Lepisosteus oculatus: one gene and its partner. The protein of the gene in region 1 purifies or fractionates together with the protein of each later gene. This does not show direct contact. Links are inferred from orthologs where the notes say so. Each region holds a gene or a part of one and is shown on either strand. Other genes may lie near its edges. The genes, in order: rngtt and smek1.

Region 1 (8,042 bases):
CTGCGATGGACTGGTGACCAGTGGCCAGTATGAACCCAATAAAATCAAATGGAAACCTTTTTTTTTCTTTCATCGTCTTGGATATTTTTCTGTCTTTTAAGTAAATAAGCATTGTTCTTACTGTATGTACAGTGGCATGGCTGTGGATGAGATTATTGTATTACTGTTGTTGTTTCGTAATTGAGAACAGTAAAAAAAACAGTGATTCGGTGACATTAACGATAAACAAAACAAATCTGCTAGGGCTATGAGTGTTTATAGAGCTGCTGAAGAAAACACCGGGAGTGATTGTTAGTGGATGCGTTCATTCTGGGGTCGGGTTTGGGTTCAACACTTCACCTAACAGCCCACACTAATGTCAGCAGATTCTCGATACAGTTTGTGGCTTCGTCTGTTTTCCTCTTGTCGTCTTTTTTTTTCCGACTCCAAGACGTTTCTTTCGTTTCACAATTTGTACAGCGCTGACGTGGCCAGTCACCTGTGCTCAGTGCGCTCAAATGTTTCCTTTGTTTTACAGTTGCAATTTGCATTTCTTAGAAAAAAATCCGGTTTTGCATTATATTTTTAAAAAATACAGTATTTTTAAAGCCGTTGCCACAGCATATTCCCTTTAATTAGCACCATCACAACAACAGGACGGTTTAAATTGTACAATTTTAGTTTCACTAGCTGATAGAAACTTGGCCTTGATTCTCCGTTTCCCCGACCGATTCTTATCCTCGATTTTATTATTGTATTTAGTGGTTTTATGAAAAAGGTCAGTAATGGCGAGTTAAAGGCGCTATCTGGGAATGCGATCTGCTGTAGTTACTCGATTTGGGTATTAACACGCGGGACACAAGCACAAGACGAGAAATTTGCATTCAGTTTGTATTTTAATTTTAAAAAATTTAATGTGAACCAATGCCGATACACAGATAATGGTCTGCTTTCCAAGTAGACATTTGTATTCAGCGCACTAGAGATGCATCCCCAGAAGGGTGGCAAAGCGTTTAAGCAGGGTTTTCAGGCTGGATTGGATTGGACTCGGAAATATGCCAGGCAACAGCTCCCTAGTCCGTGTTGCTGGGGGAAAGTTTCATCACATGACTTTGAATTTTACCTTTTGATTGGTTAGATAAAAAAAGATGCAAGTTTTCATTTTTTACATAACTAAAGAAAGTAGAGAAACGGCTGTGATCAGCTGATCGCTGCAGTATGTAGGTCGGGCTGAGACTGATTTCTGATACCGGGTTATTATATTTGGATACATACAGTAAATAAACAGAAACACCTTAATTTTGGAGGAATGCTTCTTCTTCTTCTTCTTCTTCTTCTTCTTCTTGTTTTTAGATTTATATTTAAGAACCCATAGCACTGTTATAAATAATACATATAAGTTATCCTTATGCTGTACATATACAGCGTTTTTCTGGACACTTCACTAGTTCAAAGAGCTTTACAGGTAATGGGGACCCCTCTTCACTACCACCAACGCGCAGCCCCCAACTGACAGAATAATCATAAAATTATTTCTTTAAATGTACTCAACACTTACAAAAGTTACAAGTTACAAAAGTAACATTATGATCATTCTTTTTTAATTCTTGTAAAGTCTCTTGTAAATTCTTGTAAAGTAATTACAACTCTGGGTAATTAGACTGGACAGAAGCTCACAATTTTGTGGAGCGAACCAAATGTTTTGACACCTTTTGAGGTGAGGGCTAGCACTTGTGCTCAACACTGTTTAAAGCACAGATCAAAGCAAGGAAGATGAATGAGGAAAAGTCACAGAAAAAACAAGAGAAATTAAGAGTTTGTGTAATACAAACAGTACCGCAGTTTGGAGCTCCCATTAACAAACAGAAACCTGTCAAGTATCTGGTACTGGAAGGACCCAGATAAAATTTAGGAGAAGGGGCTGTATTTTTCAGATTTGTGCCAAACCATCAGTCTTGTAGACAGTTTCTTTCTTTAACATCAGTCTAGTGAGATAGCTTTACTTTAGGGAATTGTTCATTTTATTAAAACGGTCTCGCTTTCCGGTTTACTAACACTTGGAATTTCCCTAAAATAAACATTTAAGATCACCCAGACTTGGGAGGAGTGGCTTGTCACTACAGAACTCCAGCTGCATTCAGTGTTGGCACCCTGTCAACACAGTGTTTTACAGATCAAGTCCTGGGAGCCCACTGGCTTTTCCTCCTGTAAATAACAATAATTGCTTATACTTATATAGCACTTTTCTGGACACCCCACTAAAAACGCTTTACAGGTAATAGGGACTCTCCTCACCCACCTAGATGATGGCAGCCATAGTGCTCCAGAACGCTCACCACACACCAGCTATCAGTGGGGAGGAGAACAGAGTGATGAAGCCAGTTCAGAGATGGGGATTATTAGGAGGCCATGATTGGTAAAGGCCAGTGGATAATTTGTCCAGGACACCAGGGTTACTCCCTACTCTTTTCAAGAGACACGCTGGGATGTTTAATGACCACAGAGAGTCAGGACCTTAGTTTTATGTCTCCTTCAAAGGACAGTGCCCCTTTTACAGTTTAGTGTCCCTGTCACTATACTGGGGCATTAGGACCCACACAGACTGCAGGGTGAGCGCCCTCTGCTGGCCCCACTAACACCTCTTCCAGCAGCAACATTATTTTTCCCAGGTGTCTCCCATCCAGGTACTGACCAGGCTCACACCTGCTGAGCTTCAGTGGGCTGCCAGTGGTGAGCTGCAGAGTTGTATGATCGCTGGCAAACTCATGCTGACCTGACAATATTCCAGCAGGAGAGTGAATGTCTTCATCTTGCTCATGTACCAATGGCTTTCTTGCGAGAGGAGTAGGTGTGTAGATGTGTAGATACCCTACTTGTGAGACCTGAGTCCCATTGAAAATCTGAGGGATGAACTGGGACAATGTGTGGGACTATGGGCTCAGAGGCCAATGAAAAGGCACAGATTTATCAAGGCACTACTACAAAAATGGCTACAATCCCACAAGACAGCATCTGTGAGCTCCTGCAGCTATAGCTACCCACAACTTCTATTGCTTCCAGACATGGTCACACATGCTACTAGCCTGTGGATTTCACTGTGTAATCCCTGTCAATCTGACCAGTTGATGGCCAATGTTAATGAGCATGATGAATCTTGCTTTGTCATGTCTGCTCAATAAAATGGCTGTACCTAATCTTTAGTAATGCCTTGCAGTTATCATGGAAACAGAGACATTTAAAAAAAATGTCATGTGTGCCTTTTCAAAGGGACAGACCGGGCACAAGGCATTCTAATTTCTTTTAAAACTCTTCACTACAAGTTTAAGTTTTATACTAATGGTCCTGTAAATCTGCTGTCCGTGATAACACACATGTCTAGTTTCCTCTTCTGTTCTGTATGTTGTACACTGCTGCCACTGTCTCAGGGTCAAACTATAGATAATAAATGGGTCTATCCTGCAGTCATAGACATGACAACTGCACACCATGGATCCATGATAAAAGATTCCCAATTCCCTGTTCAGTACCACTTGGCATACACAGCCCATAGCTACTGGCCATGCTAGATGCCTGTCAGACATTGGAACAAGCAACAGGTTTATTCCATGCTGAAAAGAGAAGAGAGAAAACACATTTTTTCTCTCTCTCGTGTTCTCTCTCTTCTCGTTTCAGCTTGGAAAAAAACTATTACTTGTTCCTTTGCAGACTGCACATGCTGACGCAGCTGCCCACCTGGACCACTTCAGCCTGTCAGATATTTATATATTTGCTCAATCAGGGCTAAGAGTGGGTTAATGTAATAACCACAGTTTTTACTCTGTGCCAGGAATGCTCGAGTCCTGCTGTGTTGGCCCTGGCATTGGAATGCCTGAAGACACGATGACATTAACTGGCACCACTTAGCACCTCAGGAGGTCATCAGTGTAGTAGCAGCCCTGCGCTGTGATACACTTGACTTGGCTCAATAGTTCAAAACCCGATGATCTCCACTGTCATACAAGATAATCAATATCACTGTTTGTCCACCAGCAGATACACAGCAAGCCGACTGGGGACCAATTTCACATAATAGAGGTTTGCTGCAGCTTTGAAAATGCAAATTGTTTCCATAATTACAAAAAACCCCTAAAGATGAACAAACTTAGTGTGAATCTAACTTTCAACTCTTGGTTTATATCATGGTATTTTAGTGTTGTTTGATTGCATTATTGTCATACTCTATACTCTGTATTTTTATGGGATCGTGATGTACAAGACAAATTCCCTTTAGGGGCAATAAAGGATAATTCAATGAATTCAATTCTACTGCAATTGAACAAATATCGGCTCGTTATTGTTCTGCAGTCTGGAAAAAATGTTGTAACAAGAATGGCACTGCAGAAGGAGTTATAAACAGACAACACCGTCTGCAGTTCAGATCCATGCACGGTTAAAATAATTACGATACGCTATCCAGCCGTCCTGAGTGATGCTGCAGCGTTTTTTATCACAAACCCTTGCGAAAATGAAGCTGGTCAATTCAAGGTAAAGCATGTTTCGTTTTGCTTTACTTTATACGAGGACTTAACGATCCCACCTTAGAAAATGACTGACTAGTGAATAATATTTGGGTTGACCAGGGTAGTGGTTAAAGAAAATTAGATGTCTGCTTTAACTCTATACTTTTGAAGTCCAAGCTGTGTTTGTGAACTGTAGACTTTACAACCAGCAAGGAAACCAGGAAAACCGTTTGGCGACTCTGCTATCACACTCTATACCAAGCTACAAACTGGGCGCTCTTTGAGTTAAATTCAAAACAATACATTATTTCCCTTCTCCCAATGAAGATGGCTCGACTCTACAAAATGCGCAGCTAAAATGAAACTTGAATCGCTTAAAAAACGGCGTTAGAACACTTTAGAAACCTTAAATGTGCTGTACCGTGATAATAAGTGCAGACAAAAAATACAATTCAATTTCAAGAGTTGGCAAATATTTTATCAATATTAGACCAAGCTGTGTATCACAAGTCTACCACGACGTGTGGTAGTGAAGTGCCAAACAGCGACAGCTCTTTTTCGAGCCGAAGGTACCATCTAGCGCTGCTTCTCGGCCACTGCAGGTATTTGTATAGGAAGTGCGGAGCACTCTGGGGGAAATGTGGAGGATTTGATTGTAGTTCATTCATGGACGCTGCGTTTGATTCTGGGGAAAACTAGAAGTTTTTTCCCGTTATTCGGGAGACTAAACTTCTCGGAGCTCAGATCCCGGGGAGGCAGGACCGTCCGAGCGAAGCGGGTCACCTCTGCACCCTGGACGCCTCCCGGACTTGCTGAAGTATTTTCAACATCAGCCTTTAGGCCCAAGAGCCGCGGAGCACGGGAGTGCAGCAGCCCGCCGCGGAGGGCTGATCTCCTGGGGACTCTCTCGTAGATGCGGGCCTGACCGACCTGTCCTTCCTGCGAGGTCCGTGGCGAGGTCCTGCCGGGGAGCCTTTCTCCCGGTCTTAGAGACACGATGTCGCACGGCGGGGTCCCGCCGAGATGGCGGAATTGCCCGAGAAGGGGGCAACCTGTGGCAGGTGAGTACCTGCGGCACCTTGTGACATTTTCGCTGCTCGGTTTGTCAGCGCATTGCATTAGGCGGCCCCTTTCATAAAGAAAGGGGACGGTGTAGTATTTTGCGTGTAACGTCCAGCTGTTTGTCTCCGGCTGTGCACCGGGAGCGGTTGAGGGTTTTCCGATGAAGTTCGCGTTTTGGAGGGATGGCGAGAAAACGGTGACATTTCGGCGATTTCATCGCGCATCCCAACAGCTGCAGGTCACCGGGTCGGCCAAGCCCCCGAGCAGCTCCCAGCCGGCTCTGTGGTGCCCCTTGTAACCTGTGCACGCTGTCAAGCTGTGTTTTATACACCGGGAGGCTGTGCACGTCAGTTGTATTTCCTTAGCTTGTGACGAGATCCCCACACAAAACAAACGTAGTCGCACGGTCCTAAAAAAAAAACAACCTTTTACGTTTAAATTCTCCGAAAACATTTTTCTTTCGTGCGTTGAGACCCGTCTCTCAGAATGACCTACAGTTCATGTTATTCTTTGTTTTTTTTTTCCACCCCTCTATTTGTAGGGACTTGTTTGTAAAAAATAAAAGCTTCACCAATGTCTCACTCTTTTGGTTAAGAAGGTCATTCTGTCATGTGTCTAGGGGTTCCTTGGTTCCTATCTGAGTTTGGCGGTATTTATTTTTTTCAGACCTTAATAGACTCTTCTCTCTTCTGTGCTCAAGTGAGAGGTTTTAAGTTGACCAGGATGTCAGTTTTCAGTGTGGATATTCCTACGGCTGCTTCTATTTGATGGCTTTCCAAGACGGCGGTTTCTTTTTTGTACCTTTGTGATCGATCGCAGATTGAATTTTGGTCTTTCAGGTGCGTTACAGGTTTTTTTAACATTAACACCTTTAACTTGAAATCGGCGTGGTGATCGACTCCTGTAGAGACGTCCTGTGGGGAGATTGTGTGCGGGCTGGTGGCAGGATTGCAGGCTGATTCAGAGCAGTGGGAGAAAGGTAACTGGGTGACTACAGGCACACACGGGTCACCACCCCAGATCTTGCTGGGTCCCTCTCATGCCAGGCCGTGGGGGAGACAGCAGAGCCTGGAGGAAGCTGGCAGGAATGATGGGCCCCACTTTAAAACTCCACTAAAATGCAAACAATATGTAAAAAAAGCACAAATAACACAAGGTAAGATACAAGAACTGCGTCGCTTTGACGTTCAGTAATATCAATGGTGCTCTATAGGGGTAGGTCGATTATGATGGGTGCTGTTTGCTTTTTTCGGCTTTAGTGAATTTTATACAGGGTATTTCCAATACATTAAATAAAGAGCTTGTATTTTATACAAAAAAGCATGTGAACAGATCCCATTGACACTCTTGAGCGCAATTGTTAAAATAAGTCGAAAGATCCAGAAAGCATATATGAAGTAGTTTATATTTTCCCATATAATGTGTGATTTTAGAGAGTGGTTCTCAAACTTTTTGGACCAAGTACCACCCCTGATCAATCCAAAGCATCCAAGTACCACCTACAAGTCATCATCTCATAGGAACCCCAGAAAATCTCAATGACCAACATGAGCGCGCGTGCACACACACTCACACATGCATACATATAATAAATAAACTTTATTTGATATAGCACCTTTAAAGGTGGCTTCTCAAAGCGCTTTACAGAATTACAACAGGAACCACAACAATTAAAAATAAACAATACAAATTTCAGTGAGAGGGTTGAGCCTGTTTAGTTGAGCAAAGCAGATGTGAATTCATTGGTCGAGCCTTGATACAATTCACAACAGATTTTAAGTGTATCCACTTCATATCTGGAGCAACCTCTCTAATTCGTGCAACTACACCACTGTGTCGGCTTGTCATTGCTCTAGCACCGTCTATAGAAACTCTGACGCATTTTATCCAGTCGATGCCATTCACTTCGATAAAATCATTCAGAAGCTGAAATATGTGCTCTCCTGTAGTTCCTGTTGGTAGCGGCTTACAGAACAGAAAGTCCTCATGGGACGTACCCTCAAAATCGTATCTAACCTAAAGGAGCAAATTGGCCAATTTTGACACTTTTGACATCATCCGCCATATCAATAATTCTGTGAATGACTGTGTCTTTCAGAGGGGGCAGCAGGACAAGCTGTTTAGCAGCTTTTTCTCCACACATAATACGTATCATCTCTTTTGCCAATGGTAAACAAAGTTCTTTAAAAATAGCCTGGGGCCTACCTGCTTTAGCAATCTGCAAGCTTGCATTTTTCCCCCGTTTCCATTTCAGGAGTCCATCTCAGAAGTTAAAAAGGTTTTATTTCATGTGCGTGGAAGCGAAACACAGAGACGCTTTGTGTATTTTTCTCAAATTAACCTAGAACAGTTCTTAAGTATTTTTCTGTTATCTATCACGCTTTCCTGTGCTCACAAGAGTGCCGGCGTTCGTAGTACGCATTTCTATGCTTTCCTGTGCTTACAACATTGGCATTGTTCCAAAATCACGCACATCCTCCTCCCTCCCTATTTGCTGGAGAT
Region 2 (8,135 bases), on another chromosome or scaffold:
GACAAACTTTGCTTAAATTTAGTACACAATACAAAAAATTGAAAATATTACAAATATCATTGAAATCATACAAAGCATATTCATTTAAATTTAAAACCAAATTAATAAACTACAATACATTTAATATGCATTTTCTTTAAGGCGTCAACACTTAAAATCTAAAGAACCGAGACTTTAAAAAGTTACACTTTCAAAGAAACTTACCTGCTGCTTCTGGTAAGCAGTGTTAGGGTTTATTTTTGACTCCAACAAAAGAGAACCTGCAAAAAAAAGCAACATTACATAATGTGTTCACTGGTACCCAATAAAGAGTAAAATGAAAGAATTCAGTGCAATTTATTAACTCAATGTCGATATCTTTATCCCTTTGCCATGCGTAAATCACAGAGTGCTTCCAATTTCATCTTGACACAGGGCCCTGCAGTTGGCCATGTCCTCAGTCCAAGAACAGGGGTAGGAAACTGGCACAGCATAAGAATGCAGTCTATGTCACACCTGTCTCAGCTACTCTTCAGCACTTTTAACAATGAATGGCCTATAGATAGGAATTGCAGATCATGTCTTTGATGTAAACAAAACTTGTTTTCTAATGTATCAAAGCATAAACTGAATACAGAAAAGTTAAAAATATTTCCTTTGTCACTCGTGCAAACATTTTAGTTTTCCGAAATACTGGGAAAAGTGCACACAATTCAATCACCAGTCTCCATGAGCTTGTTACCCATTGGTGGCAAACATTTTCATGCCATCAAAATCATCTCAATACTTTTAAAATTAATGTTACAAAATGAATTACTTCTGATTTCAGAAAAGCAACCACTCCATTCAACAAAGGGTGAGGTATATTCACTCCTTGCCTACCAAAATTAAATTTAAGTAACACCTGCAATGTTCCACTTGTGTTGATGAAATGGAACCCCAAATGCAGTTTTAAAATTAAGGAATAACCTATTAAAAATGAGAAAAAACACAAGAGACGGCCCAAGGTGTCATGGCATTTTACATTACACAATTAACCAGATTCCTTGAAAAGACTGGAGCATTAGTGCCACATAAGGTTGTTCTTTTTCAACTTTAGGACTTGGAAGAGCAAATAATAAAAAATACTGTACAAGTTAAAAAAATCTAAGGCCGATCTTTTAATTTGTTAACAATTAAAGACTGCAAACTGTACTATTAAATGTACAAATTGTTCTAGCACATTTTAGCTGTGCTGCCATTTGTAATACATAAAAACTAAAATCGCATGCTCTAATTGTAGACACAATGACAGACAACCTTAGGCAGTACTACAATTCATCCTGCACGAATATAAGAAGCTTTGATAAGACGATTAGAAGAATCTGAAATCAGTACCTCTGGATGTAACTCAATAGCTTAAGAACAAAAAAACAACGTCTAGAATGTCAAAATGATCAGTAAAGAACGAGAAACTGATGAAAAGTTATTATTCCGGTCCAACTGGTATGGCGCTCGGACGAGTTGGTGCAACTCCTTCAACTTCCAACAGGTTACAGGCTGAACAAGCTGCAGGAGCGCAGCAGGACGAGCAGCCGAGCAGCGGACTGAAAACAAGCACTTTCAAGCAGCACGTTTAGAGGATTTTTTTTAATCTAACGTTGCGTTTTCGATACTGTTACCGAAGATCCAACACTGCACGTTCAATAAGAGACTGTCTACATTATAAGAGCTGCAGGCACAACTCTTCAGGACAATACAAACATGATTCAGTATTTATGAGGCTCTCGGACCTCGTTCTGTCAATACCTGGACACAATAGATGATGCATTCAAATACAAGTCTGAAATAAATGATTGGTTTTGTGCAAATCCTTGTATCTTTACTCAAACCTGGAAATCAGAATCTATGACGCCTTTGTTGTGCAATCACACGTTAATAAGGAGATGAAAGGTGTAATTTTGTACTTGTGTACGTAGGGGTGGACAACTATAGAGGGCATTAAGTACGGCAATCGCACTAAATAGCAGGACACTGGAAACTCAATGATCCTCGGCATGCACCCCCATTATCTGCAAGGCTGCATCTAGTGATCGAACCCTAACCCTGCTAAAACAATACAAAGACATACATGTTGTGCGGCTTTCGCCCAGCGTTACATCCCCCTGATTTGTAGAGCTGTCTCGGTTAAGACCTCGAAAGCACAAATCAAATCACTGCTTACTAAGGGAAAAGCCAGGCGACGTGTTTACACAAGTATCCGCGCAACTTTCAGGCACCAGCGGCGCTTAAAACCAGATCGAAACTTTACCCAGGTCTGCAAGCGAGCACTAAAACCTGTTAACAGAACCTTACTTTGGGGGGGGGGCAGCTACTGGCCACTTACCGTCACTCTCGGCCCGCACTAGCAAGGACATGCCTTTCAATCTCTCCACGTAGCCGGAGGACACATGCCCGGTGCCCCGGTCGTCCCACTGCCGATCTTCGTTAAGGGTGTAAACCTTCACTCGTCGCCGAGTGTCCGTCATTCTGCTAACCCACCCCGCTGTTCACACCCGAAAACACGCTTCGTCGTCCACCCCAGAGGCGTCGGACCCTCGGTCTCCGATCCTTAGCCCGGCCCGTCAGGGCGATCAGACGGCTAGCCTACTACAGCGCACACTCGCCCAGCTCGGGAGGGCGGCCTTGCTACCGAGGGCTTCAGGACGCTTTCGCCATTTTACCTCAAGTTGCGCAACCCTGTAAAACACTGCCCTTCCCGCTGCACAAGAGAAAGAGAAAGCGAGATATAACCCCGGCTGCACAAGGAGGCCACCAACGAAATTCGGCAGAAGGAGAGGGAAAGAAAATGTTCAGAGCACGACTGGAGAATCGGTGTTGTCGACAGCCCTTATCTGCGCGTATTTCTCATTCTTGGAAACAATGAACGCTTCATACAGAACCGCATGCGAGATCGACTGCATTATTTCCGCGAAAGGACGTGTCCGGATCTTTAATTTTAAAGGCAGCCGGCTGTTTTTATATTTATTTTCTATTATTTATACCCCTTCCCTAGCGTTCCGCCATGTTCTGTCCTCGGGCCGCGGAGAGAGACTAGCCTCTCCCCACAATTCTGAACACATTTAAAAATTAAATAAATTCAACCGGAATATTACTTGAACTCCCTTTATACGGAACCCCCCACGCACGACTACAGTTTCTCTTTAATTCCCAGTTTTATTTTATAATTACAGTTCCCTCAATCAGAACTCCGCCATCTTGGGTCCCCTCAGAGTGCCAGCACGGGGTCTCCAGCCCAGCGGCAGCAGGGGCAGCCCGCCACTATTTAAAGGAACAGCGCTTTCAATCGCACCTTTCAGACTCTCCATGTTCGGGTTACCAACTACTTTGACATCTAAAAATCAGTAAGGGCTTGTAATATCGGAGCCAGATAAGACTTTTTTTCCCAAGAAGTAACTGTAATTTACAGAATATTACACTGATGTCAACAAAGCCCCCAAATATTTGTATTTTAGGAGCTTGCAGGACAGATAAACCCATGAATGCCAATTAATTTTTTAGCTGTATGTACATCTGATTTAGACGTGTGCAAACAGTAAACAACAGATATAACATGTAGGTGTGGTAAAATATAAATCAAATCAATAAAATGACAATTAAGGTGGAAGTGAAAATCAAAAACTGTAGGAACTGAAACAATGTGAAACATGTACCGGTAGTCCGGATACAAAGATGAAGTCCCCCTGTTTGACTACCTATTCCAGGTTTAGAAGCAAGTACATTTTGTAAATTACATGACTAGTTTCAGAATAAAACATTAGTGGCCTACAGAAAAACAGTGGCTGCAGGATGTAGCCGAGAGCCCCAGGTGCTTCTCGAGCAGGTGCAAGGGGCTTGTGGTTTCTGTGGCTAAGGGGAGAGGTTAGAGAAGGAACGGGCTCTGGGGTTGGGGTTGGAGGGAGCAGGGGGAAATGGGACTGAAGATTTTCAGTAGCAGAGTGGCCCGAGCCAGAAATCAGACACGAGTGTGGTTTTGAATCCTCTATGTGCAGAAAAATAGAGTCTGCGGAAGGACTGGTCTCATCTCACTAGATTTTCATTTTCTATAATTCAGTATAATGCCCGTGTGCCCTGTTTATCGACCCAAGACTCGTATCTCCTCTCCAACCAGACATTTAAGAATTTTAAGTTATCTTACTGTTGCTGTGCTCATTTAATAGGTTTATTTTTAACAACTAGGCCTCAGACGTTCCTTATAGGATCCCATCACAAAGAAGAACCTGCTTCCCAAGCAGTTATATTACCCTGCAACTCTCAACTGCCAACACACTGGTGACCCTGGTCAGTACCTGGATAGGAGACCTAGGAAAGTTAAGGTTGCTGCTGGAAAAGATTGGGGCCAGTTGGGGGACGCTCACCCTATGGTCTGTGTGGGTCCTAATGCCCCAGTATAGTGATGGGGATGTAAAACCGGGGTCCTGTCTCTCTGTGGCCATTAAAAATCCCCGGGTGATTCTCAAAAAAGAGTAAGGATGTTGTCCCGGCGTCCTGGCCAAATTTCCCTTTGGCCTTTTTTGTAATAATTCCCTCCTAATAATCCCCATCTATAAACTGGCTTCATCACTCTGTTCTCCTCCCCACTTGATAGCTGATGTGTGGTGAGCGTACTGGTGCACTATGGCTGCTGTTGCATCATCCAGGTGGGGCTGCACATTGGTGGTGGTGGAGGGGAGTCCCCATTACCTGTAAAGTGCTTTGAGTGGAGTGTCCAGAAAAGCGCTATATAAGAGTAAGGAAACATTAACATGTTGTGAAGCTGTCTGACTTACTGTTGTTTTTATGGCAAGTTTGTGTCTTCAGCTTTTATTTTGATACACTAAAAATAGTTGTGTTTTTTTTAAATAGCAGATAATGCTTTACATAAAGCATACATTCAGCTGCTTTTGTTTTGAGCATCACGGTGGCACAGTGGTCAGTATAGCTGTCTCACAGCGCTGGGCCCCTGGCTTCAATTTTTGGGGTGCTACCTCCATGGAGTTTGAATGTTTCCCCTGTGTTTGTGTGGGCGTCCCCCTACAGTCCAAGAACATACCGATTGGGTAACTGGCTTCTGAGAAGACTGGCCCTGGCATGAATGTGTGCCCTGTGATGGACTGGCATCCCATTCATGGTGGCTCTTGCCTAGCACGCGCTGCTTGCCGGTTCAGGCTCCAGCTGTCCTTAGGGCCTGTACTGGAAAAAGCAGTTAGATGGACTGGATGCTTTTGTTTTAAAGGGTGAAAAGCTAAATAAGTTTGCGTTGAGTCATCCACACAGCTGCCCAATAAGCAGTGCTCTAATCATTCCAAGGTGGATTTTTTGGGGGAGGGAGAAGACGTTCAGACCCTTACACTGCTTTGATACCAGTCGGTAGGTTGTAATTGAGTTTAAAGCTGTATTGCGTTCTGCCATCTGAAAGCCTTAACAAAAATGGTCATGATTTCCCAGCATGCTAATGTTGATTAAGACAATTAAAACATCACAAAAAAATGGAAAATTCCATTTGTTGAAAGATCATAAACAACAGTGGTATTTATCACAAAGTCTATTTTGTATCTGACAATTTCAAGGTGAAGAAAAAGTACTAAGGTTTTTAAATTAAAATAAATGGAGCCCACAAACCACAACCTAGACAGTTAAACTAAGAAATTATTACATCAGCCCAGTACAGTAAAACACCCAAGCAGTATTCTGTTTTTGAAACCAGCAGAGATATTTTTTTTGGTCTCCATGGCAGCAAACTGTGATATGTAAACAGAATGTACTTTGCAGTGTGGAACTAAGTAAACCATTAATTGTATAGTGAATGAGGACAGCACAGTCACAACAAACAAAAGTCCACTGCAGCTGAAAGAAAGAGCTGGAACGGTTTCTATGTGAAACAAACAGCTAACATAAACAATGTCAGCAGGCATGCAGTACTTGTGTTGTTGCATAAAGATTCAATCTAAACTGAGAATTTAGAGGGCCCAATCTCTTTTTGCATCTTTAATGAAGTCAAAAAAGAGCCTTTGTTGTCTGCACTATGGAGACACAGGGATCACCGAAACGGCCACATGACTGGCCATGCGATGGAAAACAAAACTACCATCATGATCAACGATATTATCATCATTATCAATAATAATAATACTATTATTTTGTGCCTTCCAGTCTCTACTATGGAAGTTAACAAGAAAACAAAGTGTTTTTAGCACAGGAGCAGTCACAATCCTTATTTAGTGAAGTACCTTTTGAAAGCGCGAGAATTACAAAGGAAAATTACAAACAGTGCAATAATACAGAGCAGTGACAACCAACATAAAGAAGAAGGATCCACATCCGAAACGTTGTTTCCCGTCCTCTCTTTTCAGCATGTTACTTTCAATTCCCGCTGTATATAAAAAGGTTATGCATTTATAAAAATAATGATTCATTCTTCTAAGCTGTTACAATCTAGGGGACACTCACATTCATGGGGCACTTTCAGTGAAAACATACTTCATTGGCCGCAAGAAATCTGAAAGCTATAGTGCAGGCTGGAGAGGAGAGGTGTGTCTTCAGTTCAGTTTTTAAGGACGGAGGCCAAGTGCCAGTGCTCCCAGAGAGGGGTGCAGCCTCCTCACAATGAGAACCTCCCTAGTGTAGTACTTCAGTTAGTCACCCCTGAAATAAAACACAACTGGCAATCCTACTCAGCAAAGGCACTTATTCATACCCTCCCCGCCTTCTTCAGACTCCTTGTGATACTAGAGTGCATTGCTCTGTCTGACTAAAAGACTGTTCTTTTTTTTGCTGCCACGCAATCACAAATGTCAAAAACTGTTTCGTCAATTATATTGTTCTTTGTTTCCCTGTAAAGCCACATTTCTCACGCCGATTCATCTGAACTCTAAGCCCCAGTTTGATGAGGCACATGGTGACAGAGCAGGTCGCACTGGTGTCTGAAATGCTCTCGGGTTTGGGGTCAAACTTGCTTCTTGTATTCAAGGAATGGGCGATGCGCTGTCACAACTTTAACCCAGAATTAGCAGATATCTGAGAGTGAAATGATGAGTTATTGGTTTCATAAGGTTATAAAACCAACCAGATGACAAAGGTGGACTTGTTTAGTTAGTAAGCTGACAGTACTGATTATGAATTCCAATTATTTCCTCTTATTCTTTGTCAACATCCCAAACTTTTATGCTTAACAACAATAGCATTGCCTTATGGTTGTAGCACAAATGGTATCTTTTACTAAATATTACCTAATAACTCTTTATTCTCCTGTTAGCTGTTTTAAGCTGCATAGACAAGGAATGATGAATCAAGTATTTCTAACTTTTTCACAAACAAAATTACAAAAGTAATGTGATTTATGGAACATCAGCTTCCTTCATATATACAGCTAAATTGAAGAACATCGGAACTTCCAAATTCTTAAAACAGCCAATTATGTCACAAGAGTCTTACAATAGTAACATTAATATTCCATGTCTGGTAGTACTGCCTGGATTCTACACACTGTACTGTAGTATGACATCTGGTCACTCTCCAAGGGCTAGTAGCTATCTCTAGCACTGTATTTCATTCTTCTCATAAGTTAAATATAGTCCATTTATAGCAGTACAAGATGCAAGCAAAGCACAAAAGATTAGCAAGCATCCAGACTTGTATGTGATGAGCAATTCAGTTTAAGGCTACTTTATGCAAAACAGCTTGCAAACAGATGTTTTGGTTTTACTCTTTGGCACAATGGAAGCTTGTGAGCACTTTCAAATAAATATGAGGTATATCTGAGCATCAAAGAGAAAGTACATTCGTAACTAATATTGTGTCACAGCATGGATAGCATCTGTTCAGGCGGCTGTTTCTGGAGTGAAGAACTCTAGCCGAAAGGGTTGTGCCTTAAGATGATACACGTTTTTTGCTTTCTATGGATGCTGTAACAGAACAACAAAACTTCTCCCCACCAGATTTAAAGAAAGGCCTTCCTAACTTCTTCTTTTTCAGATTAATCTAATTGGGGAATCTTTCCAGCAGTGGGGTGTAATTATGATTGCATGTCTGCTGTTACACTTTAAACCCTTTCTGCCAAAGCGTAGTGTCTGTATATGTTAATTCAGCTATAATAAGCATTATTCTGCCCAGTTTCCCAGAGCTGATGAGCTCAACAT

Evidence for each region.
Region 2: the proteins of rngtt (region 1) and smek1 purify together in Homo sapiens (affinity purification with mass spectrometry; 3 studies listed by BioGRID and IntAct, with this or other methods). This does not show direct contact. The link is inferred for Lepisosteus oculatus from reciprocal best matches to the Homo sapiens genes RNGTT and PPP4R3A.

Annotation. Positions count from the first base shown.
Region 1 is NC_090697.1:8,027,077-8,035,118, forward strand, and holds the start of rngtt (mRNA-capping enzyme), read left to right. Parts: upstream 1-4,873; 5' UTR 4,874-5,475; coding exon 5,476-5,539; exon of another isoform or gene 5,540-6,653; intron 6,654-7,745; exon of another isoform or gene 7,746-7,969; intron 7,970-8,042.
Region 2 is NC_090703.1:20,030,125-20,038,259, forward strand, and holds the start of smek1 (serine/threonine-protein phosphatase 4 regulatory subunit 3), read right to left. Parts: upstream 3,253-8,135; 5' UTR 2,487-3,252; coding exon 2,345-2,486; intron 261-2,344; coding exon 205-260; intron 1-204. UniProt on the Homo sapiens protein: Regulatory subunit of serine/threonine-protein phosphatase 4. May regulate the activity of PPP4C at centrosomal microtubule organizing centers.